Linked DNA regions of Drosophila melanogaster. The protein of the gene in region 1 interacts with the protein of each later gene in a pairwise test. Each region holds a gene or a part of one and is shown in the gene's direction. Other genes may lie near its edges.

Region 1 (8,693 bases):
TGATGTTTCGCCGCCGCTCCAAGTCACGATGTTTGCTCTGCTCGTCCCCCTTTTCGCTTCTCCCATACTGTTTGCCTTTGCTTTTGCCTTTCCTCTTGCGAATTGGACGCGCGTCAATATTTATTTTATTTATCTCCTTGCTCGCCCAGCTTGCGGGATACTCGAGGGAGGATGGGGGCCAGACACAAACAAATCGAAATATGGCCATGGAGGTACTGATTTCTTCCCGTGGATCAAAATACCAGGAGAAGGGGGGAATGGCGCCCGCCAGCAATTCATTCCGTCACCCAGCGGACTTCTCTCTGCCAACTCTTTCGTTCTTTCTTTGCAGAAGCCATACAAGTAATGCGATAATTACAATGCCAGGAATCATTCGTCAGTTGGCCACTCCGTGTGAATTACCGCGGCTCAGACTAAAGCAATCTAAAGTTACTCCCAGCACAAAGGGAGGGGAGAAGCCTGCAATGCGTACCAAGAGCGTTACATGGGATTATCCCCTGTCTCCTGTTACACCAGCCAAATAAATCTTCGGCTGGCGGGTACGTAAGCACCTGATTCCAAGCTCATTCAGACATTTGGCTAGGCTCCAGGGCGAAACATACAAACACCAAGGCATTCGCGAATCTCCTAATGGAATTAGGTCTCGTTTATATGCACAAATCGTTCAACAGGCCCAATCGAGGGAGCTGCAAGCCTGAATTTAGCCATGGGAGGTTCAGCCTCTATAGGAAGGAGCCCGCACAACAAAAACCCCAAAATTGGAGATTTAAAATAATCTAAAAGGTGGCACGACACAGTGACAAAGCCCTCGATCCGACCTCTGCGAGGGCTTGGCCTACAACAAACTGTTCGCGGCGGAGGGCGCTTAAGATATAATTTGCCATATCTTGGCGGAAGGAGGGGGAGATAGTCCCGCGCAGTGTCGGCGAAGATGTGAGCCGCGCCGGGTGCTAATAAAGTTGCCCGCCAAGAAATGAAGGGCTTTGGGGGAGCTCAATAGGCACTTCCCCCTGCGATTTTCTGCGGCCCGTCTAGGTGCTAATTTAGCGACCTCACAGAGATACAAATCCGCATGCGAACGCAAGGGGTTCCTCAGAATTTCCATTTTCAACCGAAGCGAACCGCAGATAAGGGATAAATGTCAAAATTATCTGCACACTCGCTCCCCACATTAACCCATGCCGTACGCACTATCGTGCAACTGACCAAACCCAAGGTGAAGGAAGGCAATCCTTAAGATCGCGGAAGAATCGTATTTCATTAGTTCATTTATTCGACATAATATTTCGCATTGTATGCTTGAGTTCCCATGGGTTAAACTTCGGGCATGGCCACTGAAGACTGCAGAGCGAGCGAGGATGGGCAGGCAGAGGAGCCGCAGACGAGAAGCAGAGCACATGGGACGGACAAAGTGCAAATATATGTTGTTAGACCACAAAGCCGGTCCCAAAGTCAAAAGCCGAAGGAGGCGGCCAGAAACACAGTAAAAATGGCAAAAAACGAAGAGCATTCCCTCGATATGCCAAAGTGCATCAGGCACTAAAATGCAGAAAATTGAAACGGGCTTTTAATGAAACGAAAGCGCCGCCAGAGATGAGATGCGCGCCTGGCTCGGATGACTGGCTATCTAGCTGGAAGCGGATATCTGGCTCAGACGTCCACTCAAATGGAGATGGAGGCAGCATGGGCAAGTGAGCGCTTACAGGCGAAATAAGACGAACACAAAGAGTCAATTAATTAGTAGATGGATTCACGATTGGCGCTGCATATATAGACACTGCGCTGCAGTCGAAGGTGCGGTTGGGATCACTGTGAAAAATACTTTCGGTTGTCTAGGCCTTTGGAATTCCCTTGCAACATGTTGCCCGCGTTCAGGTAGGAGACCGAAGATACAATCTGCACTTTCTCCCAGTGTCGAAACTATTGCCGAGAGTGGACCTTCTTTTACTCGAGATAAGAACGGGGATTGGGAATAGAAGCTGGGCGTTCATTAAATGATAAGCGAGCGACGGACGGGTCCGTGTGATAAGGCCTTCTGGCCCATCGGGATGGGCCAGGTAAGAAGACTCCATCTGCGACAACGGAGTGAAGTGCGCACAGAGATCAGGACTCTGGTGCCCAGCCAATCTGGGCAGTTAAAAAGCGGCAAACACGGGTCGGAAACAGAAGCGGCAGCGAAAAGTATGACTTGAATGCACGCAATCCCCAGGGCGCCACAAGGATCAAAATGAATTGTTAGTACGAAGTGGGGAATTCATGATTACTGGAAATAGAAATAGAAATAGAAATAGAATACTGGAAATTATGCGAAGCTGCTAGCCGAAAACGGGGCGTGGCGGAGGAACCGGATCGAGATTGGAAGTGGAAGAGGGAAGGGAAAGGGGCAACACGTGGAGCGGGCGCAGGAGGCAATCAATCGGTTTCCTTTTCGGCAGAATGCTCATTATCGCCAATTTGTGGGGGCAACCGCGGGGCGGTTGAAAAGCAGATCTGCACTGAGAACAATGCAATGTCGAACTCCGCAATTGTGATTTTATGCCGCGCAAATGGCGCTGTGATCAGGGTTCCAGCTAAAAATTAAATGCACGTCCCGCGGCTTCTTCTCCTCATCATCCTCTTTGTCTTCTCTTCATCGTTTTTGCTTTTTCGCTGCTTCTTCTCGTCTTGCTCCTCGCCATAGTTTTATGATATATGGTCACAGGGGCGGGCCAATCTCGTGGCACGTTCGGGGTGTTGGTAATTATAGGACTTTATGTCTGGAAGTTTCTTTATGATGGCTTTTACTTTCAAGCGCAATTCGAGGGACGTTAGCGTTGTTGCGGCATAGCAAGGCCTTGTTCGCATATTGACCATAGGTTTTAATATTCGCTGTACGAAAGGCTGTCTGAATAGTAAGAAAACATCATTTTTTTAAGCAGAGTATTCATTTTTTTGCTGAACGCTGGGAACATAACTGCGCATTGGATTGGAACACGGTTGCGGGATAGCGGAGTTCCCAACCCAGGGATGCAATTGCAGCGTGGCTTATCGGAATACGGCGTTGGCGCGCTGCGGCCACACCAACCGTCTCTTCTTCTTGCCGTCGCTTCCGCCTTCTGTTCTTTTTCCTCGTGGTTTTCGACTGACAAGATGGCTCCTACCGTAAGTGCTCCGAAATATGAGTTTCGCGACTGGCCACCGGCGCCCGGGAGCTCCAAGTTGTGTAACTCTGCAGCGGAAAGCCCTAGTCGGTGGCCAGCAGCGAAATATTCCATTTGTCGAATGTGCGTGTGATTTTTTTTGCTTTTTTTTTCGGTGAGCAGGCCAAGACCAACAAGGGTGATACCAAGACCGCTGCCGCTAAGCCAGCGGAGAAGAAGGCCGCTCCCGCAGCCGCCGCCGCCAAGGGCAAGGTGGAGAAGCCGAAGGCTGAGGCCGCCAAGCCCGCCGCCGCCGCGGCCAAGAACGTGAAGAAGGCGTCCGAGGCGGCCAAGGATGTAAAGGCAGCCGCCGCTGCTGCCAAGCCCGCGGCAGCCAAGCCCGCAGCTGCCAAGCCCGCCGCCGCTTCCAAGGATGCCGGAAAGAAGGCTCCCGCTGCCGCTGCTCCCAAGAAGGACGCCAAGGCTGCTGCTGCTCCGGCTCCCGCCAAGGCTGCTCCGGCCAAGAAGGCTGCCTCCACGCCTGCTGCCGCTCCCCCAGCAAAGAAGGCTGCTCCCGCCAAGGCCGCAGCCCCGGCTGCTGCTGCTCCCGCTCCGGCTGCAGCTGCTCCTGCTGTCGCCAAGCCCGCGCCTAAGCCGAAGGCAAAGGCTGCCCCAGCTCCCAGCAAGGTGGTCAAGAAGAACGTGCTGCGTGGCAAGGGACAGAAGAAGAAGAAGGTCTCGCTGCGCTTCACTATCGACTGCACCAACATTGCTGAGGATAGCATCATGGATGTGGCCGACTTCGTAAGTACATGGGGTACACAGATGATCACAAATCTCACCGCTCAGTACCAAGCACTGGTTACAATCTGTCGTTGCTTTCAAGATGTTATGGGGGATGTATTGCCCATTAGTATCTTTCACTGTCTATGGTAAAAGTAGTAGTGTGCCGTCTATAACTATAAATTGTTCTCCCAAAACATTTGAAAGCATTAACCAGATCGAAATCTGTATAGTCTTACCGCACCAAGCTTTCCACTGCCCTCCAAGTTAACCAGGGGCTCTGGATAAAAAGTTGTGGTTATAGTGAGTTCACTCCATTTTGCGATAAACTGCCAGCGGACTTTCCCGTGCCGCCGGCGGTTAACAACTTCTGGAACAACGCTAAATGTAGATGATAGTCATAGGAAGGGTAGGTAGGTGTCCGTTCCGTTTTAAACCAAGTCGAATCTTTCGCTGCCTCATGCGGGCACACGCGTTTCTTCCCAGCGCCTTCCAATCGCGCTTGTAGTCAAGGGGCTCTGGGCACTGCACAACGGGGTAGCCACTGACCGCCAGTGACCTGGCACTGGCCAGTGGTGCAACCGTCTGTGAACAGCGTCAAGCCGTGCTATGTGTACCGCCACGTGGTGGGCCCTGGGTTGAGTGCGACCACATCCGTGGCGCCTCAGGCCAAAATTCATAGTGCGCCCTGCTCACAGTGCCCGCTCTTCCGTGGCACTGCAGGTTTTCCCAACTTGTAGAAGTTAGAATTAGGTGCTTCTTCCATATGCCAAGTGATAAGCCAACTGACTAAGTACCCGCTAGTGGGCAAACCGAGTGCGCTAAACGCGCTTCTCAGCAGGGCGCTGAATAGTTCAAGTGTCGCCTACGTCACGGGATCAGGTAACTACAATCTTATGCTGCATTCACAAACGGGGAATGGAACCACTGGGGGAAAGGTACATAGTCGCATGCATGCGACTGAGTCATTTGACTGGAAACCCCCTTAAGAAGTTTCCTTTACTGGCACGCCGTCCGAAAAGTACCGCACCTATTGGTTCCATGGCCCCTTCATTGGTCATCTATCACCTAGATAAATCTATTTTACAGGCCACGCCGATTTGCCGTCAGAGAGTGAGCTTTATGCGTCGCTCTGATGGCAGTGTACTCAGTGGCAGAGCAAAAAATTGGTCACTCTTCTTTATTTGGGCTCTCTGTTCTACCCACTCGACTCTTAGCCTTAACAAAGAAAGAGACATTTAGCCCAGCTTACCGCTAGCAGGAGCTGCCCCAAAGATCCAGCCCAGTCCAAGCTGAACTAACCCGGAATACCCTCTCTATTCCGCCCGCAGGAGAAGTACATCAAGGCCCGCCTTAAGGTCAACGGCAAGGTGAACAACCTGGGCAACAACGTCACCTTCGAGCGCTCCAAGCTGAAGCTCATTGTCAGCTCCGACGTTCACTTTTCCAAGGCATACCTCAAGTACTTGACCAAGAAGTACCTGAAGAAGAACAGTCTGCGCGACTGGATCCGTGTGGTGGCCAACGAAAAGGACTCGTACGAGCTGCGCTACTTCAGAATCAGCTCCAACGACGATGAGGACGACGATGCCGAGTAAAGATGTAGCTGATCCCTTCAGTGGAATCACTAGGTTTACATTGGTTTTTATTATACATTTCACGCCCTCAAGCGGCGTGTTTTTATAAGCTAACAGAAAGATGTGAACTCATGAAAAAAAGAAAACTTCGGGCTAGCCTCAATAAAACAATTGTGTGTGAACCTTACGACCCCCAAGTCATTTTTATTGTTAGTACAAATCTATCTGGGAGAAAAGACCTATTCAATTTATTTCGCTTGAGAAGATGCGGCTATAATCATTGAAAACGATTTGCCTTCAAAGACATTTGGTTGTGGGCATGTACTTTATATATTTAGACATTTATCCAATCCAACAAATCCGATATCCCCGTCTCGCTTTTTTCCGTGATCGGTTGGTGCTCTTTGTTGAAAGAGTGATGAATACTATTGAATACTATGTGCATAATTTAATTGTTTATATTATCTGGTCATCCACATAATGAACACTACTTGAAACTTAGAAAGACGGAAAGTAGATTTATATAAAGCCAGTCAGTTGGATTGCATCCAATCGAATAATTAAGATGTATGGGGGGTGCTCTTGTCAGCTGTCTACTTTCAGGGCATCCGAGAGTTTACAGATTTAACTAGCTGCAAATCGCAGTACGTTAGTCCGTCTGTGGTTACGAAAGCAGGGGGTCTAGAATAGTCCGGACCACTGGTGTGCTCATCGTTATGCAAGCGGACCATTAACTAGTCAGCTTCCCATTTCGTTTAGGCGTGTGCATCGTGGGCACCGGCCATGTGAAATGAAACTCATACGTGGCGGGTGTTGTAGGTGTAGGCGAAAGCTTTTATTTTATTCAACAATTGAAGAGTGCAACAAATACGTTTGCTCACAGCAATACAAAAACAAGCAACAATTACGCTAACAAGTCTAGAAAAATACACACTTTTAGTGGGAACTTACATTCAGGTTGTCTTTCTTCAGAAGGCTTTTGAGTTGGGTTTGCACATAGGGCTATATAAATGTATATATATATATATATATGTATGTATGTAGTTGCAGAGATATTCGAGCGTTTGCTTTGATTTCGAGCACACTGGGATGGGTCCGGGCCCGGTTACGGTTACGGGGCCCATGCACACCGCAACAATCACAATTGAAGGCCAAATTGGAAAAGGGGGCTTTTTGACTGGGAAGCCAGCTTGTTTATCCACAAATACTGTAGTCGGAGATGGTACGGCATAATTCAAGAGTTTTTGTCCAATTAGCGCCTGGAATTATCGATGTTGGTCAGCGCAAATATGCGCGCCAAGGCCACAACAGCTGGGGAGGAAGGTACAGTAGGTAGTCGGGTAATTGAGTGGGTGCACAGTGGAACGTTCCAGAAGCATGGTCTCTAAAAGCCAGCGAGCCGCTTGGCCACCACTCCGCTCATAAGCACGAGCAGAAGGGTCCGCATGGTCAATCCTTCCAAGGCCCGAGCTCCGCCGGTGTGGGAGCGAACGGATGCCTGGATTGGAGCGGCGACATCCTGTGCCTGCTGCACTTGCTGCACCTGCTGCGATCCTGGTTGATCAGCGGCCATGGGCGCCAGTGGTGCTGGACCCTCGCCGGCGGAAGCAGCTGGTGGCGGGGGTGCCGGGTAGCAGGCAATCTTCTCCACCTCTATCATCTTGGTGCTGTCAGCCGGATCCGTTTCGTTTACCTTGGTGGGCACACAAATAATGCCTCCAGGCGGTGGGGGAGCAGCTGGGTCCGGCGCGGTCATGTTAGAGGTCTCTGGATTAAAGGGCATTGGTGCCATGGGTACGGCTGGCTGTTGGGCATCTTGGGTGGTGTTGGAAGAGGGAACTGGGGCCGCTGGAACTGCTCCCGGGGCAGCAGCCACACCTGCTGCATTTATCACAGTGGTGCCATCACTGGCATTCACTGGCACGCCGTTGTTAATGATGATTATGCGATCCTGACCAGCAGCTGGAGCTGCGGCAACCGGCTGCGAGGAGGAACTGCCTCCCGAGGGAGTGAGGGCGTGACCCAGCAGGGCACCTCCCAAGCCGCCAGCAAGCAGTCCAGTTCCTGCGAAGAAATTAAACATTGAAGCGCAAAAACAGGTGTGTCACTTAAACAACAAGCGTTTACACGATTTATGTGAGCACTTAAAGCAAATATGAGTCAGCAACAGAAGATTGCTGCAGGGGATCGTGATACACTGCGTGTTAGACGTCTTACCGAAGCCCAAGCCAGAGGAGGACTGTTGTGGTGGTGCAGAATAATAGGTGGCTCCGGGCGGCAAAGCAGATCCCGCCTGGTAGTAGGTGGCCCCCGGAGGCGGAGCAGCAGCTGGGTGATAGCCACCGCCCATGGGAACATGGCCGGCGGACGGATAGTATGTAGCGCCAGCGGGGATATTGGGGGAATAGCCACTGCCGGGTCCTGCAGCCGGGTAGTAGGTGGCTCCAGCTGGCACTCCAGAGTACTGCGGCTGATGGACATTCGATCCGGTGGCGGCTCCATAGTTGGGAGGAGCTGCTCCGTAGTTGGGGGCATGGTAGGCTGGCGGCGGCTCGTGCATGTTGGGTCGGGCTCCTCCGGCGGGGTTGGAAGCGGAGTAGGCGGGCGGCGGACCCTGCGGCACATTCCAACCTGGCTGAGGGGCGGAGCCTGGGGACCCTGATGAGCCCGCGGCCATTGGTCGATTCGGCTGCGAGTTGTAGTTGGGGTAACTCAGTTTGGCCACATCTGCATGAGAGTTCCCGGCGGCGTGGCCATTCGTGTTGTAGCTGGGCTGCGTCACGTGACCGTAGTTGGAGGAGCTTGACGAGGAGGAGGTCTTCCGCTGGTTGCCCTGGTTACGCCGGGCGTCCACAACATTGTCTCCGCCGTGCGTCAGCAACAAGGCAAACAGCGCCCAGGCCACATAGGCGAAAGGGGAACAGGCGCCACCACTGGAGGCCATCATGTGATCCGGATTAGTGCTTCACCCTTAGACGAGTGGAGACAAGACTACATAAATGTCAAACACGGCAAATACGTCAATGCAGATCATCGGTCACTGATGTGCATGCTAATTACCGAAACCCGTTTTGGATGCTTCTGCTCGTTTTCAGCTGCTCGCGTAGTTTGTCCGCAAAACAAGTTTTTTAATTGGTAAAAACTGTTATTTGATTTCACTTTTTGCTATGTGACCAGGCTGGGGAAGGTGCAAAATACTTGTCGGTCTGTGTCT
Region 2 (8,572 bases), on another chromosome or scaffold:
GGCGCTCCATACCCACGCCAGTGATAAGGTTTTCGTACAACCCACTGGCCATGTAGAACATCTAAAGGGAATAAGATGTAATTGATCGGAAATGTTAGGATAGCAGAAAGGGGAACTACCTCCTCCGAGTCCAGGGACTCTGCCAGGTGACACACCACATCCACCATCATGTAGCGCTCCTTCATCAGCAGAACGTTGTCCCTTTGGTACGTCATCATCATAATGGAGAGGGTAAACAGATCGAGCAGCTGCTGCAAATTGAGTTCCAGCTTCCCGGCTAAGGTAGCCATCATGCGATTCAGCAACTAAGTTAATATAAACAAATTAGTAATAGTTATTAGGAAATAAACAGAATAATAACCTGTTTGCCGTCTGTGGTTTCTGCAGCGTAAGGAAACAAATGCTTGATGGACGACTTCCGGAGAAAGGACATGATGGATTCGTGGTCATAGCCTAGGCGCATTTCATCCACTTCCACGAGGGAATTATTCAACGATGAATCAGATAGATTCATTTTGTATTGGCGGTAAAAAATGCGCAAAGCAAATAAATAGAAATAATAAACTGAAAGAGTGACCAGGCACCAAGGGGTGGGTCAAATAGCCTAACGCCTAGTTAAGCGCTGTATCGCATGAACGTAAACGGTCATACCATTATTGTTGCTCCACGTGCGGCGATTTTTATTCATTTACTACTTTAATAATCAATTTTAGTGAATTGACACTAATTAAAATGCCGCCTGTTAAGAAGCCCAAGGCGCAGAAGATCGAGAAGCAAAGCACGCCCAAAAAGCCCATCGATGCAGCCAAGAATGTGGTTTCCGGACAGGTGAGCGGCTACCAAAAACAAATGCTCCTCCGTTGGGTTGGATAACCGTAAACTGCGTCCATTTTAGCTAAAGAAAAAGGTGACCAAGGCCAGGCCGCAGAAGCCAAAGGGTCCAGAACGCGGCGTGGTCATTGTGAAGCACCTGCCTCACGGATTCTTCGAGCAGCAGCTGCGCCAGTACTTCCGACAGTTCGGTCGGGTGCTGCGCGTCCGTTTGGCCCGTTCGCTGCGCACCGGTAACAGCAAGGGCTACGCCTTCGTGGAGTTCGAGTACCCGGAGGTGGCCAAGGTGGCTGCCGACACCATGGACAACTACCTGATGTTCCAGAAGGTGGTGAAGGCCACCTACATTCCACCAGAGAAGCAGACACTCAACTTCTTCAGGACTTCCTTGAAGAAGGTTGTCAATAAGGTGCGTTCAAAGGGAAATACATCTAATGTCCGTTTGTTATTCATAGTTGTACTTCACTTGCAGGCCGGCAAGGAAATCTATGTCTCGGATTTAACCAAAGCCACACAGCGCAGCGTGAAAAAGCAGAATAACTGGGATGAGTCCGCCTGCCAGAAGCGCACCGTGGCCAATCTCAACAAGATCAAGAAGCTGCAGGAGAAGTACAAGGATCTGGGCATCGACTTCTCCAACTTACTGGTGGAACCAGTAAAGAAAGCAGCAGGCTCCGCTGAGGCATCTACAAGCCAGGCAGCCGCCAAGAAAGCCGGTAAGAAACAAAAAACGGCCGCGAAGAAAGAACCAACGCTGGAGGATTTGCTGGGCAACACCATCAACGAGGACTCCGATGATGAGGACTACGTTGATGCATCCGATGATGAGTCCGATCTGGAGGCTGAGGAGGAGCAAGCGGACAGTGAGCAGACCAGCGATGACAGCGACGAAGAGGAGGATTTATCACCGCCGCCCAAGCAGAAAAAGACTAAGCTGGCTGATAAACTGAAACGCAAGCCCGGCACTGGTGGTGTGCAGAAGAAGAAAATAGCTCCGCCGGCTAAGAGCAACAAGAATGCCGCCACCCAGAAGTTGCAGCTGGCCGCAGCCAAGTCGCTGGCCAAACCCTTGCCCAAGGGAAAGGCCAAGAAATCCAAGTAGTAGCTTAAAATACATTTACTATAGTTGTTAAGTAAGCGAAAACATTTTGTAAGATGAATTGTGTTAAAATATGTCCTTGTACAAACTAAAATGGCGTTTTGGCCGAGCTGCCTTGCTGCTCCTCCAGTTTGATGCGCTTGCACTTCATGCGTCGATTTTGGAACCACACCTTCACCTGGCGTTCGGTCAGCTCCAGCGCCACTGCGATTTCGTAGCGACGCAAGCGAGTCAAATAGTTGGAATAGCAGAACTCCGCTTCCAGCTGCTTGAGCTGCGTTTTTGAAAATGCTGTGCGTTCCTTGCGATTCGAGCTGATTGCCCGGAGTTTGGACCTTTGGCTTGGAAGTTCTTGACCAGTAGGTGCCTCATTTTGTAACCATTGATCGTTCGCTTCGTTGCACCAATTAGTTTCTAGTTTATTGTAATCCGCGTAGGAAGAAGACGCACTGTGGTCATATACATAGCTGCAGTCCGTATAGCCCTCCGTTTGGTTCAGCCACGATTTCGTAATATCCTCGTAGCAATAGGATTCTTGGTAGACGTTCGCGTGGGAGTTCTTCATTGCCGATGTCTTTGCTTCTAGGTCTAAACTATTACTGAAATCTCAGATTCGGCGGAGCTGCTTTTTAAACAAGGCGCAGAGTGTGCCAGGCCAATCTGCTTTTTCACTTAGTCGCAAATGATGTGCTGCTGATATGATAATTGTGCGCAACATCTGGACCTCGGGTATGAGTGGTTATGACACCCGCAGATCGGCTTGTTGTCTTTGCCTACGAACTGTTGTCACAACAAACCCGAATCCGATTCCCAGCCCCTTCCCCAGGCGTCCGGTCAGAAACGGAAGTGGACGCATGAGTCAAGTGCTTTGTGCCACCAACTGCGGAGCTATAAAATTTTAATAGACAACCGTCGGCGAGTCGTAAGACCCAGTCGGAGATTTATCTGAAAGTCGCAATTGCACGCGCTTTTAAAGTCGATGCGGCGGATTACGAGTGACCATTGAGTGTATATTCCTAGATAATCCATGACAAAGTGGAGTTTTATATAATAATTAATGGGGAAATAAGTGCGTGTCACAGAAATGGTTAAGGGATAAAATAGTTCAATAAAATAAGTCTTACGGGGGTTTTAGAAATTAGAAAAGAAATCAAAAAATTTTGATATCCTATTATGAAACCAATTATAAAATGGACACAGCAAAAACGTAAATTCTAGCTTCTGCTTATTTTTCTTGGGGCTTAGGTATACCCTTTTTTATTTGAGTTTTTATTAAATAATATACCGGTATATGAAAATTAACCGGTTCCGGTTTTAAATTATCCGCATTTATTTTCAAACTGAATAAGTGTTGGGTAATCTTTTTTGGTTAAGGCATAGGCACATTTCAAGTGTTGCCAGACTATGACATTCCAAAGGGCATTCAGTGATATCTGTTGTCCTTCGCTGTGTAGTTATTGTTTGGCTAGATTTATTCATATATTTCTTTTAATTTTCCTTTGTCAGCTAATAAATCTCATTTAATCTAGAAAAAGTATACAAGAGGTTTAAATATATCTATCGATAGAAATGAAGCAACGGTAGAAATACTTTCCGATATCTATCGATATATTAATACTTTTATGCTTCCCATCCCCAGTGCAATAGTACAATTTACAATTTACAATCATTTAGTACAATCTGCGATATCTGGGCATCCACATTCGCCAAAATATGTGCGGCTAAAACCCCCCGCGAACCGCTAAGCGGCGGCGAAACAGTCGGACAAAAGCGACATAAAGAAACGAAGCGAGAAGCAGACGGGCGAATTAAACAAGTTTCGTTTGCGTGGAACGCAGAATTGCGTGGAAAGAAAGCCAACGAAGTAGAAGAAGAAGCAGCGCAGCAAATGCAATAATGTTTAATGTTTAAACAAATTCGCCAAGGAGTTTCATTCTTTTTTTCAAATCGTCATCCGTGAGTGCGTGTATGAGTGTTTGTGAGCGTGTGTGTTTGTGTGCATGTTGTGAAGTGGAAAGAGTGAAAACAAAATGAGAGTGTGCAAATGAAGTTGGCCAAGCCCAAAACAGCGAGAATTAATTAAAGCGACTAAGAAAAGTGGCCGTCGCCCAAAGGATTAATCACGCCCAGGGGTTACCCACCCACACCGCCAACCAACCAAACGAAAACTCGGTGAAAAGAGTGTGAACCGATCGGCAGCAGGACGCCGAAGGACCCAAAATGAGCGAGGAACTGAAAGTGGTGCTGCGGCGCAGCGAGCAGCATTCCGGTTTCGGGTTTTCGCTACTCGGAACCACCGGACCGCCACATGTCATCTACGACATCGTCGAGAATTCGCCGGCAGCCGATTGCGGAGCGGTAAGTGAAGCAAACACAACAGCACACCGCAGTTGCAGCTCCTCTGCGCCTTTGTGTGTGCTGTGTGTCATTCCATTCCCGTCTGGGACAGGAGGACTGGCGGAGTCCTCACACCGAGCGGCCCATGCCACCCCCTCATATCCACCCACCGGTGACCTCCGACCACCTCTACCAATGACTTCATCAACCACCGGGCACTGGAAGCAGCCAGCGAAGAAGCAGAAGCAACAGCTCCCTTGCTGGGCTCACTTTTGGCAACGCCACATTTTAGACTACAGTAGAGCCTCGACAAGGCACACCGCCCAATAGCGGAATTTATTAAAGATCATTAAATGGAAATACGTAGCTGGCAAAATTGACAAAATTCATAGAAATCATGCCAGTTTCTAGTTAAGATTGCTGTTCTGCAATACTCATTTTTCCCTGGAATTTTGTGCTTTTCAGGGAATATTAAGGAGATTTTAGAGAATTGACAAAAAATTGACAATTGACAAAATTCATAGAAATCATGCCAGTTTCTAGTTAAGATTGCTGTTCTGCAATACGCATTTTTCCCTGGAATTTTGTGCTTTTCAGGGAATTTTAAGGAGATTTTAGAGAAGTGCAATAACAAATTGTGTGATTTCAGCACCGTTTTAAAATTTTTGAAGGATTTGTATACCGTCCAACTGCCGTTACATAAGCATTCAAACGGAAAACAAATTATTCATGACGTTTTATCTGACGCAAAGTGCATACGTACATATGTATGTATGTATGTACATACATAGATAAGTACGATTTTTTATGGCAGCTGGTGGCTTGAGTTTTGGAAGTTGGATTGTGTGCAAAGCGACCGAGACTCGCCCCTCGGCTGCTGATAAGAATATTTTCCACTTTTCCACTTCTTTTTTTTATGGTGATGACCATGGCTGTCTGCTGGCGTATGTGAAAGCATTTCAATTTGCACAACGGCAACAAAAAAAAAGCGAAAAAAGCGAGAAAAGCGCAAATGAGAGTCCTCCGTTGGCGTGTCATCATTGTTTGCCGCTCGTGATGTCATCGTTGCTTTAATTGATGGGTGGAAGGGCGCTGGAAGGGGGCGAGGGGCGGGTAGTCTCACACAAAAGCCAGTGTATCAATTTTCAGGCTTGTTTTGCTTTTATTTACTATTTACTGTCATCGCATCGCATCTCGAATGTTTAGAGCCGAGTGCAAAAGAAAACAAAGCGTGTAAATATAGCGAACAAAATAAGGCAAATAATTTGTCTTTCTTTTCAATAAAATGCTGATATGTTTACTGTTCGATTGTTTTTGCTGTGTAAAGATCAATTTATTGTCAATTTAATCGAATCGGAATTCTCATGATATAACCAGCAGAAAGCGTTTTGTTCATTTTAAAAATATCTACATATATTGTAATATCAGAGACTCGGAAAGTATTATAGAATTTCTCTTGAAAAAGCCCATCCGCACCATTTATCTTATCTAAGTAAATTTAGTATACAATTCATAGAGAATAGTCACCTTTTGGTAGCTATTACCAATCTGGATTTCTCAGAATGGGATTCTTCGATGAACGCACCCAGCGGATATTGGATAAGAATGGACTTTACGTGGGGCCCATTTCAATTGTTATTAATTTCCCCATGCAACTGCGATTCGAAAGAGTTGCAACGCAAAGTTAACAAATCGACAGAATGCAAATGCAGCGCTATAAAAAGCAATGCAAAGACAACAATTTATAAATAAACTTACTCAGGCCGATGCTAACACACACATAAAGCCTCCGACTTACTTTGTAATTATCGGACGTGGCAACAAAAAAAAAAAAATAATAATAAAATAAAACGATTTACACGAAAACCCAAACAGAATTCTCCAGCTTTGGTTGTTAAATTTATGCGCCCGACCACCAAAACACAAAAAACCACAAAAACTTGGTCTCGAACAAACAAAACAACAGAAAACAAATCGAAATGCGTGAAAGCAGAGTGCAAAAAAACGCGTTGGGAATTTTAAATTGTTGAGATTATTAAGTAATTCCACACAAGCCACACAGGTATGATGGAAAGCAACACAATTGCATCGCGGTAATTTTCTTGAGGCAACGAACTGACATCGACATATGGACATGTATCTATATATATACATAATACATATGTATATGTGTGTGTGTGTTGATGTGGATGCAGCGGCACGCACTTTTTCAATTTCTTATCGCTTTCGCTTACAACTTGTTGTTATTTTTGTTGCCCGGCTTGTTTTGGGGCTGTTTGACTTGTCTTCTATCTACATACATGTGTATCTATGCACACACTGCTTATAAAGTGGGTGCTCCAGAGTATCTTGGCACCTAGGGTGTTTAAAAACAATATTTATAATTTTCAATTCAATTGATTTGATATTTATGAGCCGAGCTATAACAGAAAAATATCATATTGAGTTCCTAAGAAATTGTATTATTTAGGGTATCGGTTACGCTCCACGTTGCCTTATAAACGTTATATACAGAATTTTTCTGCCTCATTTTTAAACTTAGCACCTTCAACTGTAAATAACTCTCATTTACAAAGCATACCATCTGTAATTAGTTGCTTTTTCAAGACCGCACCCTGTAAGACATAAAAACTAATGAGTAACCAATGCGTCGGCTCCTCGAATGCAATTAATTTTACTTTTTATATGCCGTCATTCTGGTTGCGGTACAATTTTATTTTTCAATGAATGCACAAACACATGCACACACGCTCTTCTCAACTGGGTGTGTACAAATTGTGTGTATGTATGTATGTTGCATGTGTGTGTGTACGCTGTCGTCGGTTGTCTTTTGTCGCCTTCGCTTTTCCATTTCCCATTTTCTTTGCCTGGCTTTTCTTTAGCTAAGTTCCCTGCCTCTTCGCAGTTGCTGCTCTCTGTTTGTTGTCATTTCTGAATGCATTTACCGCACGTTTGTTTATTTTCCCACTTCTTCAGATACATCAAGTATACTCCACACACTCGCCAGACGACAAAAGTATCTGCGTTCCGAGGTGGCTGAGTGGCAAATTGTATTGCATTAATTGCGCTAAAGCAGTTACGCCTTTAAATCTAGTCGATTTATATAAATGTCTATGCGCACTAGATAGATTCTACATTAAAACCCATTTATAAATATCTTATTGTGCTTTTTCAAAACTTTAGCCATATGATATATCTATTTAAAAACAAACATTGAATGCTTGGGCGAAACTCCATGCCAAACACTCATGATCAAATAGCAAATACACAACTAGTTGTTGATGTTTTTCGAAATTATTTATATTCGTTTAGTCATTAATCTTTTGGGTTGCCAAGTGATTTGCTCTCTCCTCGCTCGCCACTCAAAATTACTTTTTTGCCCAGCTGTTCGAGGAAAAGAATTTAATACTTCACTTCTTTTTGTTTTTAGGGCAAACATAAAATCGCAAACGGGACAAAATAAAATACAAAACCTTTAGAACATCAGTTGTGTATACCTCCATGGCATTTTAGGTTGCCTGTTTTTTTTGCGCCTCCTGCGAAATTTGTAGCTTCTTTTGTTCTCGACTGGCGTTGTTGCAAAATTCTAACGTTATGCTTAATTACTCGTTAACTGGAAATGACAAACGACTTTTCGCCGTTGCCGCTTTCGTTGTCATTGTTCCCATTGTAGTTGTTGTTGTTGTTGTGGCTGTGGGGCTCCGCCCACTGCGAGCAACAAATTAATTGCCACCGACAAGTCGCAGACAAAAAGAAACAAAAAAAAAAACAAAACCATAGAAAAAATGGCAAAGCAATAGAAGAAGCTCTTAGCTCTTAGCTACTTATTGATTTTTCCCCCTTTCGGAATGCCTGTGTTTGCTGTTATGATCCCGATCTTTCGCCTTCTTTGGCAAATTGCGGGTAATGACAATTGACACGTTCAAGAATAAAACGACAACAACCAAAACAGACGGCAACAAAACAGAAGAGTCGAGCAGGTCGGCAAACTTCAAGCTCTGAAAAGCACAATCCAGCAACAAGCATTCACTCGATTACAATTGCGAGATAGAAGTAAATGTCAAGAGATGGGGATACGGCTTTAACTTTTGCCTCAAATGCCCCATTACAGGGTGGTTGGAGTTTATACCACGTATCTGAAGCTATGGCAGAGATCCACACTTAAGATACTGTATCTGTAAAATATCAGATGCAGACATCTTATTCGATAAAAGATACTAATGTGAGTCACAAGGGTGTGATGCTACTTTACTTTTAAATAGTACTACATATTAATGGTTAATCGTCGATTTTAAGTAAACCTTT
Region 3 (8,898 bases), on another chromosome or scaffold:
TTCTTAAAAAAGGAAGCTAACTTTCTTGGTCACATAGTTACCCCTGATGGTATTAAACCAAATCCTATTAAAGTTAAAGCCATAGTTTCATACCCAATTCCGACAAAAGTAAAAGAGATAAGAGCTTTCCTTGGATTAACAGGTTATTATCGCAAATTTATTCCAAATTACGCAGACATAGCAAAACCCATGACCAGCTGCTTAAAAAAAGGAGCAAAGATAGATACACAAAAACTTGAGTACATAGAGGCATTCGAAAAACTTAAGGCTTTGATAATTCGTGACCCAATTTTACAATTACCTGATTTTGAAAAGAAATTTGTTTTAACCACAGATGCAAGTAACTTGGCCCTCGGGGCTGTCCTTTCTCAAAACGGTCATCCTATATCTTTTATTAGTAGAACACTTAACGATCACGAATTAAATTACAGTGCTATCGAAAAAGAATTACTTGCCATAGTTTGGGCCACAAAAACTTTTCGACATTATTTACTAGGACGACAATTTCTCATTGCCAGTGACCATCAACCTCTTAGATGGCTTCATAACTTAAAGGAACCGAATGCTAAGTTAGAAAGATGGAGAGTTAGATTAAGCGAATACCAATTTAAAATAGATTATATTAAAGGGAAAGAAAATTCAGTTGCCGATGCATTATCAAGAATTAAAATTGAAGAAAATCATCATAGTGAAGCTACTCAACATAGTGCAGAAGAGGACAATAGCAACCTTATTCATTTAACAGAAAAACCAATAAATTATTTCAAAAAACAAATAATCTTTATTAAATCCGATAAAAATAAAGTAGAGCATTCAAAAATATTCGGTAACTCCATTACCACAATTCAATATGATGTAATGACACTTGAAAAGGCCAAACAAATTTTACTCGATCACTTTATCCATAGAAACATTACCATTTATATTGAGAGCGATGTAGATTTTGAAATTATTCAAAGAGCACACATAGAAATTGTTAATACCACCTACACAAAAGTAATTCGCAGTCTTTTCCTATTAAAGAACGTTGGTTCATACGCCGAATTCAAAGAAATCATACTTCAATCACATGAAAAACTTTTACACCCTGGTATACAGAAAATGACAAAATTATTTAAAGAAAATCACTTCTTTCCAAATAGCCAACTATTAATTCAGAATATAATAAACGAATGCAACATATGCAATTTGGCCAAAACAGAACATAGAAACACCAAAATGCCTTTAAAAATCACACCCAACCCGGAACATTGCCGAGAAAAATTTGTAGTAGATATTTATTCATCTGAGGGAAAACATTACATCAGTTGCATTGATATTTATTCTAAATTCGCTACACTTGAGCAAATTAAAACTAAGGATTGGATAGAATGCAGAAACGCATTAATGCGCATTTTTAATCAACTAGGTAAACCCAAATTATTAAAGGCAGACAGAGACGGAGCTTTCTCCAGTTTAGCTTTAAAGCGATGGCTTGAAGAAGAAGAAGTCGAATTACAGCTCAATACAGCAAAAAACGGGGTAGCAGACGTCGAAAGATTACACAAAACAATAAATGAAAAAATTCGTATAATCAATTCATCTGATGATGAAGAAGTAAAATTAAGCAAGATAGAAACAATCCTCTACACATACAACCATAAAATTAAACATGACACTACTGGACAGACACCTGCTCAAATTTTCTTATACGCTGGGCATCCCATATTAGACACTCAAAAAATTAAAGAGAAGAAAATAGACAAAATAAATGAAGACAGACAGGAATTTAATATTGACACTAATTACAGAAAAGGTCCACTACAGAAAGGCAAATTAGAAAACCCATTTAAACCAACCAAAAATGTAGAACAGACAGACCCTGACCATTACAAAATCACTAATAGAAATAGAGTTACGCACTACTACAAAACACAATTCAAAAAACAAAAGAAAAATAATAAACTCTCAATTTCACAGGCACCTGGTACCCGATAACACTATTGTTTATACTGATCACAGCTGTTCATGGACAACAAATTCAAATTAATAATATTGACACCAACCACGGATACCTCCTTTTTTCTGATAAGCCAGTACAGATACCATCCTCCTTTGAACATCACTCCTTAAAAATCAATTTAACTGAAATAGACATCGTGGTTGACTATTTTGAGCAAAGACTACGAACCGATTACCATGCACCCCAGATCAATTTTTTATACAATAAAATAAAAAGAGAACTAGCCGGAATAACCCTGAAACATAGAAACAAACGGGGTCTTATTAACATTGTGGGTTCAGGTTTTAAATACCTATTTGGAACACTAGATGAAAATGATCGAGTCGAAATACAGAAAAAACTTGAAATCAACGTCCATAACTCAGTAAAATTACATGAACTCAACGACGCCATACGATTGATAAATGACGGAATACATAGAAGATTTGGAAATGGCTATGCAGCTTTCCAGACTTGGACTGTTTAACCCCAAATTACTAAACTACGACAAACTTGAAAATGTGAACAGCCAAAACATTTTGAACATTAAAACATCCACTTGGATTAACTACAATGATAACCAAGTATTAATCATATCCCACATACCCATTTACCTTTCACTAATAAGCACAATTAAAATAATTCCTTACCCAGACTCCAACGGCTATCAGCTAGATTACACAGACACACAATCATATTTTGAAAAAGAAAATAAAGTTTATAATACCGAAAATAAAGAAGTAAAAAATGAATGTGTCACCAATATTATTAAACACTTAAATCCAATTTGTAATTTTAAGCCAGTACACACGAACGAAATAATAAAATACATAGAACCAAACACAATTGTAACCTGGAACTTAACCCAAACAATTCTTAACCAAAATTGCCAAAATTCAATTAATAAAATAAAAATAGAAGGAAACAAAATGATAAGAGTAACGCAATGCAAAATAGAAATCAATAATATAATTTTAAGTGAAAATCTGTTAGAACCAGAAATAGATTTGACATCACTATACACACCACTTAATATAACAAAAATAAAAATTGTAAAACACAACGACATTGTTGAGATGATTTCAGAGAACAATATTACACTTTACATACAAATGATCATTGTAATAATCGCACTAATTTTGTTGTACTCATATTTAAGATATGTATCATTTAAACCATTTATGATGCTGTATGCAAAACTTAAAATAAGAAAAAATCAAAATCAAAACACACCACAACAAACAGAAATAGAAGAAACTCCATTTCCCACACTATATCCATCAATCCCAGCCCAAGTATAGGCTTCTCTTTAAGGGAAGGGGAGTGACGTATTTGGGTGGTCCAAACCAGCCACTTCCATTATTTCAAAGAAATCAGTAATGCACTCTAGTAATTTTCCATAACGTATCCCAGCTGCGCAGCATTCGTTTATCTTTGGCAGCGCAGCCGTTCTTGTAAACATCCTAAAGCCTGACCTAAGCAGATTTGACTGCCCTCTTTCAACGCTACCTAATCTTAAGAACCCAAGAGCGAGGCTCTCCCGAAATACAAATATTGTTCAAATACTGAGGCTTCTCCTCAATCCAATTTGCATTTGATTTTTAGTCTTAAGCTGAGATCCAAAGAATAAAGTCGTGAAACTATTTCTCCTAAAACTATTTTTTATTTCTTGGCGTTGTCCTTAGTCAACTGACGGGACATTAGTTCGACTCATAAATAAAACAACAATTTTACTATATATTTTCAATTTTTTTTTTCGCAAGCGTCGCACGTGCGAGCTTTTCCCCCGATATTTATATTCGCCACTCACACACACGCGCACCGAGAGCGACACGTCCGAACGGTTCCAGAGCCGTTAAATTTTCGAACTAAAACTGAGTGTCGGGGGTGTAGTGTGGCCAGTTCTTCTAGCGCTCGTTTCGGTAAAGTTTGTGCTCTCGCTTATTGGCCGCATTTCTTGTGTACCGCCGCATGGTCACTCTAGTGCCGCTCTTTGAACCGCTCTCTTACGTTTTCTCTTCTATTACTGCTGCTCATTTAACAGAAATGTTAAAATGCAACGCTTTTCTAACAGAGACCGCGGTCTAAACTTATTTAAATAACATTTTATCTTTTAATAAGCAAATAAATGTAAATCGTACTTAATGAAATATATGATTTTACAAGATGTGTGGTAATAATTTCCATAAAAACGTTTGTTTGTTCTTTCTTCTTTATAATGTAGTAACTAGTTTAACTAGTCCGCGAGTTCATCGGATAACGTGACCACTTAAAAGATTAGATTTTGGGATATGCGGATAGATTGTCACTACCAATTTACAATACTTAATCAATGTTTAATTAAATCAGCAAATGCTATCGATAAGCCAAACTGAAAAATTGCCATTTAGTTCGTTTCTAACCGTGGCGGTCCCAAGTTCATGATCAAGTGCCCTTAGACCTATAGAAAAAATGGACTCAAAAATTACCTTTCTACTTACAACGCTACTATTTGGTAATTCGTATTTTTGCACTTTTCAAAATCATTACATATCATCATTTTTTAATGTTTTTAACTCATGTACATACGACCCCTGGGTCGCTTGGAAACATTAGGATCCAGACAGTTTAGTTTTGACATAACTTAAAAAAACTAACAGGTATCTGATAGTCGATGCTCCTGTACTCAATTAAAACATTTAAATCTGACGAGTGTGTTGGGTAACATTACTTGATAATACATTTACACAATCGCAAAAAGGGGGTAAAACGTAAAATAGCAACATTTTGTTATTTTTTGTCAATAAGTTGTCATGTAAACTCTTAGAGCTAGGGTATATGAGCGTCGGTCTCTTGAAGTTAAGCACATTTCTCGCCATTCTCACTTCACGTCTGCTCTCTACGCTTGCGCCATTGCACAGCTGACAGATTGAAGAGAATTATTGATGTGCAGTTGCATTGCAGCATTCGGTGAAAGCGGAAGAAGGGCACAACGCGCTTTGCATTCCATAAAAATCGCATAACAAAGGGAGTTAATTAGAGTCCATTCGCGCACACATACATATGTACACGCTCATTGCGAAGTAAACAAATTCACATTGGATTGGATTGCATGTGTTTGCGTATCAATTCTCGCTGGTAGGGTGGTAAGGAAGGCAAATGGGCTTATCTACGCGTATCTGCCATATTATGCCCTCTGTGCGTCCCATTGTCCAATTGTGGAATATTAATGCCGTCTATTTCACGTCCACTCGCAGTGCTCGTGGCCAAAATCAATGGGTCTGCTCTGAACGCCAGCAATTATCAGTACCAAGTGGTGGTCGAGCAGACAGCGCCAGACGATTCCCAGATCGAATATATATTCCTCAAACAGTCGGATATGATGAAGGTATGGGGCACAAATCTCACTGCCATTACCTGGGCCCATGCCGTCAACAGCCAGCAATTGCTGGACGAGGTCCTAACCGAAACCAGTAAGATCATTGGCCAAATATGCGCGTGTAACCAACTTATCAATAGTATCATTTCCCTGCCCAAGGTGGCATTGACTTCATCGAAGCGGACATTGTGCTGGGCAAACTGAATGGCGATGGCGAGGACATGCCCATAATGGCCCATCCGCCGGCCAATGTCTCTGATCTTACGCTGTCGGAATTTCTCAACCAGATCATTAATTTCAACCGTGATCATGAGGACCAAAAAAAGGGCGTTAAGCTCGACTTCAAGTCGATCGAGGTATTCGAGGGTTCCCTGGACATTCTGGACGTGAATATTCCGAACGTAAGTTTGGTCATCGAATCTCAGATATCAGAACAAATTAAACAATATCTCTGTGTTGTGCAGCCTACCACGTATCCTGTGTGGATAAACGCCGATATTCTAAGTGGTCCCGTGGAACAGAATAGAACCGTACCCGTTGATGCGGACCGATTCTTCGCCGGCTGTATGCGCTACAAACAGGCAGTGCTCTCCATTGGCTGGACAACTAACTGGGGAGCCGACTTCCGGGATGGCGAGTACACGCAGCAGCAGTGTGATGACATGCTGGAAACGCTGAGCGAGAACAATGTCCTATCCACTGGCCAGGCCATAACCTTTCCCGTGCGCGCTGGCATTGCCGCCAACAGCGAGGAGCAACTGCATCGACTGGTGGCCGCGGTGAACGAGACAAACGAGAGCACCCTGACCATCTGGTCGTCTGCCGGTGACTATGTGGATGTGGATAAGTTGCGCAAACTGATCTTCAGCTTCGGCTTGGATAGAGTCTATCTGGATGTGCCGGAGGAGCTGGCCTCACAATTGAACCTGGACAATCCCGGCAACGGAGCCAGCACCTTCAAATCCCTGTTTGGCTTCAGTTTCATGAGCCTTTGTTTTTGGGCTCTGTCCAGCTGGATGCAGCGGTTATAATATACGTAATTAATATAAGTACGGTAATCAGAGCAATTTTTATACAACTTCCAGAAAACATAATTAAAACTTATACTTTTATGTGTTGACAGTTTTATTTTCGTTTAGGTGGAATTGTTGGAAATCGCCTTGGATGACGAGTCATCTTATATAAAAAAGATGAATTTTAAAACACATTTAATTATTCAAGTGTATTGTGTGGATTTAAAGAAACTTATTTAAGGGAATATGTTTCTCAAGGCAAAGACAAATGTAAAGTTTAATAGTAACAAATGTATAAATTGATTGGATTTCGAATTTAAAATTTATATGAAGATATGTTTGGATATTTTTTTTTCAGGGTCTCCATACGTAGTTTTAGTAACTACTGCCATTTTCAGAAAGTCCCTCTTTGATCACTTGATTTTAATAATTTTTTCTATTCATTTATCTTAAGGAATTTTTGGAAATATTTCCGGGGTTCACAGCTGTGCTTTATAATCTAGGTATTTAGATCTTACACTGATCGACATTTGTACATAGGATATGCGTAATCTTTGCAGTGCTAGCGTTATTTGTACAAGACTTAAAACAACAACTATAATTTTTAGTTTTTCGGCCTACCTATGTAAATGAGCAACAATTCTCGCTACCTATGTTCTCTGTTCAATATTATTTCTATATAACTTCAGATCAATCTGCATTAAAATCTTAAATATCGCTCTACAAATGTTATGCATTATTATATAAATATAAATACTTTGGGCATGCGCAGTTTAAACTTCAAGAATTAAGGAAAATGAGTAATGGGGCGCTCTAAGCGAGTCGCTCTATATACAATTTAGTTTATCCTACTAAAATAGTTAATGACTTTTTGCTTGCGTTTTCTGCTGTTATTTGGCACTAAAATAAATAATCTTATAAATCTCTCTCGCTGTCCGCAAAGCGTGCAGATGTGTTGAGGGAACTCCTAATGCGATTGGGGCATGCGTGGTAGGTAATGTGGTGGTATGTGACGTGAATTGGAACGACATCCTCGATGAGCAACTTGGTCCAGCCTCTTAGAGCCTGGCTAAGGCAGAATGGTTTCATCACGTTGTTCTAAGCTATTCTAAGCTACGGCGACGTAAATGAGTCTCAGGCAGATGATCGTTGGCGGCACCGTCAGAATGGCTTGATGCCAACGCATGTATTATCTAACTACAACATCGGGCGAGTCCTCGCTGATCAGACGCTCCCTGTGCGAGCTTTCCATGGTACCACTCTCCAGTCTTATGCCAGAATCGCGATTATAATCCAGTAGGCGCACTCCCACACGCTCGTTGCCCGATGAACTAATGTTGTTCCGGAATAGTTGGGCCACCGGCGCTGTGGCTGCCGACGAATTTACACCAAAGGCGTTCAGTGGTCGCAGGACACTGGCCTTCGCCTTTGGATCGCTGTGACAAAAGTGCGTCACTTGTCGCGTCGGGTACCAGCAGGTGCATATAAGACCGCCCGCCAAAAGGATGCCGGTTACTATCTGCCCCAGCAGGACAATTAGCGGAACAAGCGCAATGTCTGCGGCAATTTCCTCTGATACGCGTACGCGCTCCTCGCACCACATCATGGGTATCATGACCGTCGGGACATTCTCATACAAGCTGAAAGAAAATGAAAATATTAGTTTATGTAAGGAAAAGGCTTATGTAAAGGTCAAGTTACTTACGTAATACCCGGAATTGGCTCCATGTAGTAGTTGGCCTGAAAGCCACCACCCACGTCCATTGGCACGCCCGCATTGGGCTCCAGGGCCATGAAGAACTCGTGCTTCTCGCGTTCTGGTCGCAAACCCTCGATGGCCTCCAGATAGCTTGGATCCGCCATGTAAAAGTGCGGAAAGGACATGTAGACGGATGCGTTAAAGGAGCAGGGTCCGATATTGATCACACCGCTGGGCATACACTTTCCTCCGACGCAATAGCAACGGGTATCCGGATATAGAGTGCCATTGTCCACAGCGTGCCGGGTGCCACTGAATTTGTAGGCGGTCACGCCGTGCACGGTCACAGTTTCCACGTAGTCCAATGGTATAGCACGACACATCTTGGGCATGTACATGTAGACGGTGTCTTTGGTGCCAAGATTGGGCGGAAAGAATTCGCCCATCGAGCCGTGCACCTGCCCGCAGGTGCCCTCAAAGGCTCCAGTATGCGTCAAATTATTCCACGTATGAATCTGACCCATTTTAGCGATATCATCAGCTCCTGTAAACATGTTGATATCACCATCGAACTCGGAACTGCCATTTCGTGGGTAATGGTAGCCTATACGTTTGTAGGGAACATCCTGAGGTCTCAACAGCTTGCCCACGCTTATGAATGGATGCTCGTAGCCCTTGAAAAGCATTTCATCAACTGTTTTCGTAATGGTCACTCCCTGTCTATATAATTTATTGGCAATGTTAACGCCAGTTCTGGCAAACCAGTCGACGGCCGCACGTCTAGCAGCAGACTGTTTAAAAATAATTAAGATGTTAATAGATTTCATTGAGATTGAGAGATGTTCTG

The links. Proteins that work in one complex are often made in the same cells at the same time.
Region 2: the proteins of RpL22 (region 1) and Efa6 interact in a two-hybrid assay, tested with the Drosophila melanogaster proteins (one large-scale study listed by BioGRID).
Region 3: the proteins of RpL22 (region 1) and CG7231 interact in a two-hybrid assay, tested with the Drosophila melanogaster proteins (one large-scale study listed by BioGRID).

Annotation. Positions count from the first base shown.
Region 1 is NC_004354.4:759,532-768,224, reverse strand, and holds RpL22 (ribosomal protein L22), read left to right. Parts: upstream 1-3,094; 5' UTR 3,095-3,129; coding exon 3,130-3,141; intron 3,142-3,302; coding exon 3,303-3,923; intron 3,924-4,138; exon of another isoform or gene 4,139-4,283; intron 4,284-4,414; exon of another isoform or gene 4,415-4,784; intron 4,785-4,990; exon of another isoform or gene 4,991-5,142; intron 5,143-5,233; coding exon 5,234-5,500; 3' UTR 5,501-5,665; downstream 5,666-8,693. Other genes in the region: CG5273 (uncharacterized protein), read right to left, coding at 6,864-7,543, 7,697-8,426.
Region 2 is NT_033777.3:22,584,131-22,592,702, forward strand, and holds the start of Efa6 (exchange factor for Arf 6), read left to right. Parts: upstream 1-3,624; 5' UTR 3,625-4,150; coding exon 4,151-4,288; intron 4,289-8,572. Other genes in the region: CG33107 (uncharacterized protein), read right to left, coding at 1-61, 120-305, 362-514; CG6937 (uncharacterized protein), read left to right, coding at 733-828, 896-1,240, 1,304-1,933; btn (buttonless), read right to left, coding at 2,019-2,495. UniProt on the Drosophila melanogaster protein: Guanine nucleotide exchange factor for Arf6. Regulates axon growth and branching by inhibiting microtubule polymerisation at the cortex. Together with shot, promotes axonal microtubule bundle integrity.
Region 3 is NT_033779.5:7,980,336-7,989,233, forward strand, and holds CG7231 (uncharacterized protein), read left to right. Parts: upstream 1-3,610; 5' UTR 3,611-3,903; intron 3,904-4,205; 5' UTR 4,206-4,432; coding exon 4,433-4,475; intron 4,476-4,939; exon of another isoform or gene 4,940-5,158; intron 5,159-5,217; coding exon 5,218-5,433; intron 5,434-5,498; coding exon 5,499-5,749; intron 5,750-5,803; coding exon 5,804-6,370; 3' UTR 6,371-6,450; downstream 6,451-8,898. Other genes in the region: pes (peste), read right to left, coding at 7,542-7,992, 8,058-8,842.